Linked DNA regions of Kluyveromyces lactis. The protein of the gene in region 1 binds, or shares a complex with, the protein of each later gene. Links are inferred from orthologs where the notes say so. Each region holds a gene or a part of one and is shown in the gene's direction. Other genes may lie near its edges.

Region 1 (3,498 bases):
TATACATACCAATTGCCACGGTATAATGACTCTAGAGATTGACTTGAACAGTTTCAGGCTTGATTGGTGTATTTTCGTGGATGTGTTAAAGTAAGGTAGTCCCGTGGACTCATTGGATACAATTACTTTGGACACGTCGTAGTAGGATACTGATACCTTCAGGAACCATGTCCATAGCCATAACCCTAATAACACAAGGACAACAACTCTCTGTGGGATCGGTAGGTAAACCAGAAAGGGTTCAACAGATTCGGCGTCCATGAATGCACGTATAAATAAGGAATCAAAAAAATGTAACAAAAAAAGGAGGAATAGAAGCAGAAGAAATCCCTTTCAGAAAGGCCCTGTGTGTATCGCTAACGGTTTAGATTTGTGGTTCACTGTCTCAGAGCTCTGTATAATCTAGGATCCTACGTTTTTAGTCCTAAGATAACACTTTTATTTCTATTGACATCTTTTCAAGACGTGTTTACAATTCAGATACCGGCACCAAAAATAAAAAAACACACACTACCGAAAAGCACAAGTTACAAGTACAAGAATGGAACAGCTAATGCTATATATAAACGTATTCAGGACTGTTAGAGATAACAAAAAGCGTGTTTCTAATCCTTTAAAATTTTGAATTTTATTCATGATTAGCATGGAAACTTTTAGTTCATCATTAATAGGTCTATATATTTAAGATAGAGAATGCCGAGTAATCCACTGACACATCTAACGTACACTTCGACTACCCGAATATATCCGGAAATGAAGAAAGTCAAACAAACAAGAAGATATAACTTGTACTGTATTGCCTGGACAGTTTATTTTAATAAAGTAATCGATTGATCAGAATTTTCAGTGTTTGGCTAATGCTAGTCGAATCGTTCATATTTTCGAAATCCGTTTGGGGCGACAGCGGTCATCATAATCGATATACTCAAAAAAAAAACAATCCAAATGATGGTATTTCCATACAGACAGTCATTATCTTCGTCGTTCCTTTTACTTGTTCATTTCCCGACATGAAGAGGAATTTGATTTCCGTTTGAGTTCAGTAAAAAAGACAGAATACGTTGCGAACAGGAACTCCTGTTCCTGATACACTACAAATCGAATCCTTGTTGGTTATGTCTCTAACTCTAATTAAAAGCTTTGTAACGGATAATAAAGTATTCGTGATGAGATAGAAACTTACCTCAAAATTTTTCACTTTTCCAGTTATTTAAACTAAAAACCATAAAACAGAAAGAATAGTCAATCTAACCATGAGAGACTGGTCTGCCATTAGGGCACAAAATAAGTACACAAAGATTTCCTGAATCACGTGACCAAATATTATATAATCCGGGTAAATTCAGAATACGTTCATAGTGATACTTCTTGCAAAAAATTCCATTTGACGATATTCCTCTGATGGTATTGAAGCTGTTTGAAATTAGAGATCGCTTGAAAGATTTTGATATTAACAAAAATGAACAATGTAATTGCAATGACTTAAACATTTTAAACTATGGATATTGATATATATAAGGGTGGATATATCTATAACAAATCTTATTAAGATCAGAGTTATTTTATTATTTCTGTGAAGGGCAGTAGCAAAGCGGAGATATTGGTATTAGACGGTTTACCCTAAGAATCTCGTTAGGTGCTCTGGATATAATATCATGTTCAAGCAATTCAACTTGAGATGCCTGACGCCGCTTGCCAGCGGCGTCTCCTCAAGAGTTCAAGTTCCGTGGAATGTTTCGATGATAATGTCTTTGAACAATACTTCACTTGGTGGAATCAGATCTATGGCCAGCATCACTCCAACCGGGAATGAAGAACAATCTTCAGTTGACGATGTCAATGTCCATATGTTGAAAATCGTTCCTAATAACACAGATGTGGTAGCACTAGAGAAGCAAGACGAATTGTTAAGAAGAAGAAGAAAGTTGGCTAAGGAAGTTACACAAATGAAGAAATTGAAACCGGTTTCTCCAGGTTTGAGATGGTACCGTGCGCCAATTTATCCATATTTGCATAAGGGAAGACCTGTTAAATCTTTGACTCTTGCCAAGAGAGGAAATGGTGGTAGAAACCATAGTGGTAAGATCACGGTGAGACATCGTGGTGGTGGTCATAAAAGAAGATTGAGAACAGTCGATTTCAGTCGTTTCGAATCTGGTATGCAAACTGTGGAAAGAATCGAATACGATCCTGGTAGAAGTGCACATATTGCATTGATAAAACATAACGATACTGGTGCCCTAAGCTACATTTTAGCATGTGATGGGCTAAGAGCTGGGGATACCATCGAATCATACAGAAAAGGTATTCCACCATCATTTTTGAAAGAAATGGGTGGGAAGATCGATCCTGCCATCTTATCTGTTAGAACAGCTCAAAGAGGTAACTGTCTACCAATCTCTATGATCCCAATCGGATCCATCGTTCATAATATTGGTATCACTCCTACAGGTCCAGGTAAGTTCTGTCGTGCTGCTGGTTCTTACGCACGTATCTTATCCAAGATCCCAGAAAAGAATAAAGCTGTTGTCCGTCTACAAAGTGGTGAGCACCGTTACGTATCATTGGAAGCTGCAGCTACCATGGGTGTTGTCTCAAATATTGACCATCAAAACCGTTCTCTAGGTAAAGCTGGTAGATCTAGATGGTTGGGTATAAGACCAACTGTCAGAGGTGTGGCAATGAACAAATGTGACCATCCTCACGGTGGTGGTAGAGGTAAATCTAAGTCCAAAAAGTTGTCCATGTCTCCATGGGGTCAATTGGCCAAGGGTTACAAGACAAGAAGGGGTAAGCATCAAAACAAAATGAAGGTTAAAGATAGACCAAGAGGTAAGGCTGGTAGAAAGGCTAGACAATGATAAGCTTCCCCACAACTGATCCTATCTTAAATATCATCAGTTTTTGTAAACTTATTTCAATGACTTCCATCCTGTAAATATCGTAGAACTAGTTAATTTAAAGAAATAACATAACATCTGTTCAGTTACCAACTCTATTTTAAACAAAGTTTAGATTACTACATCCAGAGCATCATTTGGTCTCTTCTTCCAGCTTAAATTCCCAGTTCCCAAGTTCGAATAAGGAACCAACGACTAACCTTACATGCTGGGCCATGTGATCAAATGAAAGTCTGTCTAAAGTGTCCATCGTACTGTGAATGTATTTGTTAGATTTGTTGAACTCACTTTCAATGACAAAGGAAGCGGGGAATCCATTCTTCGTTGCACTTCCGTGATCACTACATGCATATCCACATTCCGTTTCCACGTAAGGAATATCCAAGAATCTTCTTATAATCAACTTAATAAATTCAGTTAGACCTGGCGTGGTATAATCAGTAATGACACCAACATGCTCATTTTCTGGATCTTCAACATATCCGGTCATATCTTGTTGCAACATTGCGACGACTTTTTTGTTCTCCTCTGCATACCTGGTGAAGACATCCAAAGAACCTAGTAAACCACCTTCTTCTGCACTATAGAAATGGAACTC
Region 2 (2,682 bases), on another chromosome or scaffold:
ACCCCAACGAGTTTTTCTTCCTCTTACTAGTTCACCGTTCACTGTAATCTCCTTTTCAGATCCTACAACGGCAAATGGAATAATAGATCTTATACTTTTATTCAGTTCCACTTCTTCATCGGTCAGATCGTCTAAATCATATGGATAGATTCTGAAATTGTACTTTTTAAATTCTTCTTGTAAGATGTTTCTGAAGTTAGCTCTCTCATTCAACGTCAAAGTATCAGCTTTAGCGATCACCGGGATAACATTAGCGATTTCTGTCAATCTCTTCAAAGCAGCAACGTCAAGTTCTGTTAGACCCTTACCGTTAGGTTGGATGAAATATAACACTGCATGTACTCGAGTGTCTACAATGTGTCTTTCACGTTGAGCAGTCAACTCTTTACGTAAATATTGAGAGTGTTGCTCCTTGATGTACTTGACAATAGGTTCCCAAACTTTGTCGTTATTTATCTGGTCACCAAAACCTGGAGTGTCAATCACGTTCACGTTCAAACGTACACGGTCTTCCAATAAAGAATGTGTTGAAACCTTGATCTCGGTGGTCTTACTAATTGGTTCCTGAGTGATGTCCTTACCAGTAGAAGAATCAACCAAGTGAGATGCAAACAAAGTGTTGATCAAAGTACTCTTACCCAGACCAGAATGTCCAACGACCATAACGTTGAATTGAAATCCTCTCTTCAACAAACGATGTTCAATCTGTGAAGTAATCGAATCAAACCCAACATAAGAAGATGGATTTACCAAAGCCAACCCATCAGAAGAAGAAGTCATACCAGCTGCAGCAGTACTAGATGCCATTGTTTTTGTTTATGCGTGTATTTTACCTTTAATAATTCCTTTCGCGTAGTAGAGATGTATATAAGTCAAATCCAAATGATCAAAGCTTTACGTGTTTTAGTGTTTGGAAGTTAAAATAATGAAAAACCTCTAAGTTATAAAAACAATTAACCGCAATAACAAAAATTCAAACAATGAGTAGCAATTAACCACAGAAACGTCAAAAAAAAGTAATCACAATCTTACTTATTCTAAAGAATACAAGATCTGATTCCTTACTTATATTTTGTTGACACACTTATTTCGTTTCGAGTTCCATTTTTAGTTTTTGTGATTTTTCGTCTTTTTCATCGAAATCGAAAAAGGGACACAGATCATCACCAAATCAGGGTAATGTTGAAAATTCTTTCTTATAATCCAATTCGTCAATACCAATTTGAATTGACGAAGTTCAAACAGAGTTAGACGAGCGACCTAGAGAAACTAGTATCTGTCCCTATCGATTGAACTTATCCTTTCTCCTCTTCATCATAGTATCATACCAGCAGCGAAAATAATTAGAGGATGTCTTTTGGAGCTGTAACGGAATCTTTTAGCAGAGTGTTGCTGGAAACAGCGACATCAATATTGCCTCGTTGGAGCACTCCAGCAGCTGGTACTGCATTGCCACAGAAACTGCTGGAATTGCTTGAAAGAAACCAACGTGAAAAGTCTTCACCTCAAGCGGATTACTTTACGAATAACGGGATCCTTCTAGCTGTGCCCAAGAAGAAAGTGTCGCATCAGAAGAAGAGACAAAAGTTATATGCGCCTGGAGACAAACAGCTGAAAATGATCAACCATTTGAACAAATGCCCTTCATGTGGGCATTACAAGAAGGCACATACGCTATGTATGCATTGTGTGGGTGAAATCCGTCACATCTGGAAGGCTCACACTAACGTTGAACAAGTGGAGCCTATTCAAGAACAAGAGTTGTCTGAATTGGACAAGCGTATCTTGTATCCTGGTAGAAAAGAAACTGAATACACAAAGAAACTGAAGGACAAGGATGCTTATTTGGAGAGACGTATGAAAACTCTGCCAGTGGAGAGATCTGAGAAGAAAGAAGGATCACATTAAACCCTCTTCTCATTGAATCCAGTACAAAATAACACATCGGCGGAAATGACTAAAAAAAAACAACCTTTTATCAAGTTCAATCCCCCCATCACCTTGTATATATATGTCGAATACACGTCCCAGATTTTAGCAGGTTATTTCAGTGTCAGCATTCACCTCCTGTAGTAATAGTTAGATTCATTATCTCATCACAATCAACTCTACATAGAATCAAATCACATACAAAAATTTTCCTAGAGCAGGCTTGATGCCAGGCCTAAAGGCGTGAAAATCAGTCGAGAAAAGATCAGATTGAAAAGAAAAAAATCATGAGTGAAAAGATTTGAAGTAGCGATGAGATGAGATGAGGTGCGAATACACGATACAGGATTAAGCAGGACCTGAAAACTGGCATCAGTTTAACAGTTTGGTCTGATATTGGTTGTTTTGTTTTGTTTCACTTTAAATTGACAATAAGGCTGACAATTTTCCATACAGTATGACAACGACACGACAGTTCAAGAAAGTGAAAAAGGTGCCAAATTACAGGATTCCTGTATTTACCAGCATCCCAACGCATCCGTTAGGGGTAAAACCTAGCGGGAATTCTTTATTAGAGGGTGCAGATCCTCAGGAAACTAGAAAGCTTAGGAAAAAGCTGTTAGGCTCTCTGTCAGTGCTACCAGAAGATCTTATAATCGAAATACTCGCATATATCGATGATCCAAATGACTTGCAGAACCTCGGATGTAGTTCTAGGATCCTTTACGCGTACACCTACGATGAGGAACTATG
Region 3 (2,335 bases), on another chromosome or scaffold:
TATCTTAGGTAATTTGAAAGCAGATTCTGAATCTGCATCTAGCGTAGGTTTTTCTGCATCCATCCGTATTTGGTCAGTTATTTCCATAGACTCTTCTTCGTTAAAGCGGCGTTTCTGCGGTTCTGTAAGGTCCATTGTTTCCTCCAAAACTTGGTCTTCGTTACCATTCTCTTCTTCTTCTTCCGCAGCAGTAGAGGTTTCTTGCGGTACCACATTATCGTCTGGTTTAGCGCTATGTTTTGCAAATAACTGTGTTATATCCATTGAAACCTCTTTGTCGAACACAGGTTGGTACCCATCATTTTTCGGTTCGCTTGGAGACTCCAATTTTTGGAATATTGAACCTATCGGACTAGTAAATTCCATTGTTTCTCCAGAATTGTCGTTATCATTTTTGGTATCGGCCATAGAGGCTTCAGCTACTGCCACTTCCAATTTTAAAGCGGATTTCCTTCGAGGTTCCCTTACATTTTGAATCGATTGTGGTATGAATTCGAACTTGTGCAAAGTCACATCTGGTGCAAAGGACACACGGCGATTTCCCTTCGAAATCGCAGCACTGATCCGGGATGTCGTATTGTTTCCGTCCAGTATATCTTCTTTGGTAATTCCCTCAGTAGGAAACTGTATCTGGGACATAGTCAAATTATGACTGGTGTTAGTTGTATCATCATCCTTAAATTTTTGCTTAAGGATACTTCTCGGAAGCAAAGACAATCGTTTTGGATCTGTCATATGAAGCGAGACTATCAACACAGGGTGAAATATGATAATAAATGGAAACTTAACCTAAATATTAGTCCTTAAGTTTATGATGATTCGGTATTTGTGTGTCAATATATTGATCTAAAATTCGATTGTTTACGTTTTCGAAGTTCAATGTTTTCGATTCAGAGCGCTGCTGCACATACAGTGAGAACCGAGAAAAAGGATAAAACAACTGCCTTGAAGAGTCTCTTAGAAAGGATGGGTGTACTTCATCAATTATTTATTTGTTAGTGATTCGAAACGGTCTTCAGATTTGCCCAAAGATGTTCACTAGATGAGGATGTTCAAGATCTCAGGTCATAACCATCACGTGCTATAGTCCGGGTAAATATCTTAATCTCCATTGAAACTATTTTGAAAAATTATCGAAGGCCTTTTCATGGTAGATCATCAGCTATAGAGGGCATGTTCAGTCGGTGTGATGCCTTATTGACGATTGTGGACTCCATTAGTACGTTTCAAGACCGTGGGTGATATCAAAAACTGAAAACTCTTCACAGGTATAACTCTGGAGCCCGATATAATATAAAGAGAGGGAAATACATACATAATGAGCACACTTTTCGGAAGTACGATGTTGAACTCGTTGACAAGACTGACAAGGCCAGCTGTGAAAAGTATCAATATGCTATCTATGCCAATGATGGGTCTTATGAACCCTCCTTTGACCAGAGGTTTTAAGGTAAGAACTTCCATCAAGAAGTTCTGTAACGATTGTTACATGGTTAGACGTAAGGGCAGAGTGTACGTTTACTGTAAGTCCAATAAGAAGCATAAACAACGTCAAGGTTGAATTACAATCGCCCTCCCATTCGTCCCAATCTTTCATGTATATAGATAAGTCATAATGGAGGATGTGTTCTTTTCTTGAATGTGGAAAAATGCAGCCTTCTTTCTATAAATAATTTCCATTCTATACTAATAAACTGGTTTTAAATATATAAAATTCTGAAGTTTAGATGGTTAGATATTATTCATCTCGCCAACAGGAAAGTCCTAATCCTCCTATTAATATAAGTGTTTTCTGGACGTTTGGTAACGTAACTATATCACTGGAACCGGTATCTGCTACTGTGGTATATTTGCTCTCCGTTATTTTCAGTTTGTCATTCGTAATGTCCCTAATTCTTATGACCTGGTCCACTGATGTAGCCAATAATTTTGTGTCATTATCTAACAGATTCACTGATGTTACTGTTGATGAAGCAGCATACGAATCGTGATCTAGTATTTCGGCTTTCATCGTGTAGTTGTCATTGTTCGTAAATTTAGTGATGGCTACAGCATTGTCATCACCCCCAGAATATACTTTGAATGAATCCGAAGACTTGTCAAGCTTCACGTCGAGTGATTTGATACCTGCTGTGTGTACCAGGATTTTTTCGGACCAGTTTTGTAATTGTTTTGTTTCCAATTTGAGGCCCCTGTCAAAAAGCTCATTATTCCTTATCTCGAACGGAACGGAATTAGTGATGTCCCATGTAATTAAATGACCATCTGTTGGTGCAATCAGAAGTTTCAAGCAATTCTGTAACGGAATGAAAGCAACGTTCCAGATACAACAGGT

What was found. The genes of interacting proteins can lie anywhere in the genome.
Region 2: RML2 (region 1) and MRPL32 share a complex: the UniProt entries of both Saccharomyces cerevisiae proteins name them as parts of the mitochondrial large ribosomal subunit. The link is inferred for Kluyveromyces lactis from reciprocal best matches to the Saccharomyces cerevisiae genes RML2 and MRPL32.
Region 3: RML2 (region 1) and RTC6 share a complex: the UniProt entries of both Saccharomyces cerevisiae proteins name them as parts of the mitochondrial large ribosomal subunit. The link is inferred for Kluyveromyces lactis from reciprocal best matches to the Saccharomyces cerevisiae genes RML2 and RTC6.

What each region holds. Positions count from the first base shown.
Region 1 is NC_006037.1:182,983-186,480, reverse strand, and holds RML2 (mitochondrial 54S ribosomal protein uL2m), read left to right. Parts: upstream 1-1,655; coding exon 1,656-2,861; downstream 2,862-3,498. Other genes in the region: ERD1 (Erd1p), read right to left, coding at 1-261; KLLA0_A02013g (putative aminopeptidase), read right to left, coding at 3,034-3,498. UniProt on the Saccharomyces cerevisiae protein: Component of the mitochondrial ribosome (mitoribosome), a dedicated translation machinery responsible for the synthesis of mitochondrial genome-encoded proteins, including at least some of the essential transmembrane subunits of the mitochondrial respiratory chain.
Region 2 is NC_006042.1:1,182,356-1,185,037, reverse strand, and holds MRPL32 (mitochondrial 54S ribosomal protein bL32m), read left to right. Parts: upstream 1-1,350; coding exon 1,351-1,908; downstream 1,909-2,682. Other genes in the region: septin CDC10, read right to left, coding at 1-807; KLLA0_F12804g (uncharacterized protein), read left to right, coding at 2,387-2,682. UniProt on the Saccharomyces cerevisiae protein: Component of the mitochondrial ribosome (mitoribosome), a dedicated translation machinery responsible for the synthesis of mitochondrial genome-encoded proteins, including at least some of the essential transmembrane subunits of the mitochondrial respiratory chain.
Region 3 is NC_006041.1:1,683,151-1,685,485, reverse strand, and holds RTC6 (mitochondrial 54S ribosomal protein bL36m), read left to right. Parts: upstream 1-1,318; coding exon 1,319-1,561; downstream 1,562-2,335. Other genes in the region: kinetochore-microtubule binding complex subunit SPC105, read right to left, coding at 1-735; tRNA (34-2'-O)-methyltransferase regulator RTT10, read right to left, coding at 1,739-2,335. UniProt on the Saccharomyces cerevisiae protein: Component of the mitochondrial ribosome (mitoribosome), a dedicated translation machinery responsible for the synthesis of mitochondrial genome-encoded proteins, including at least some of the essential transmembrane subunits of the mitochondrial respiratory chain.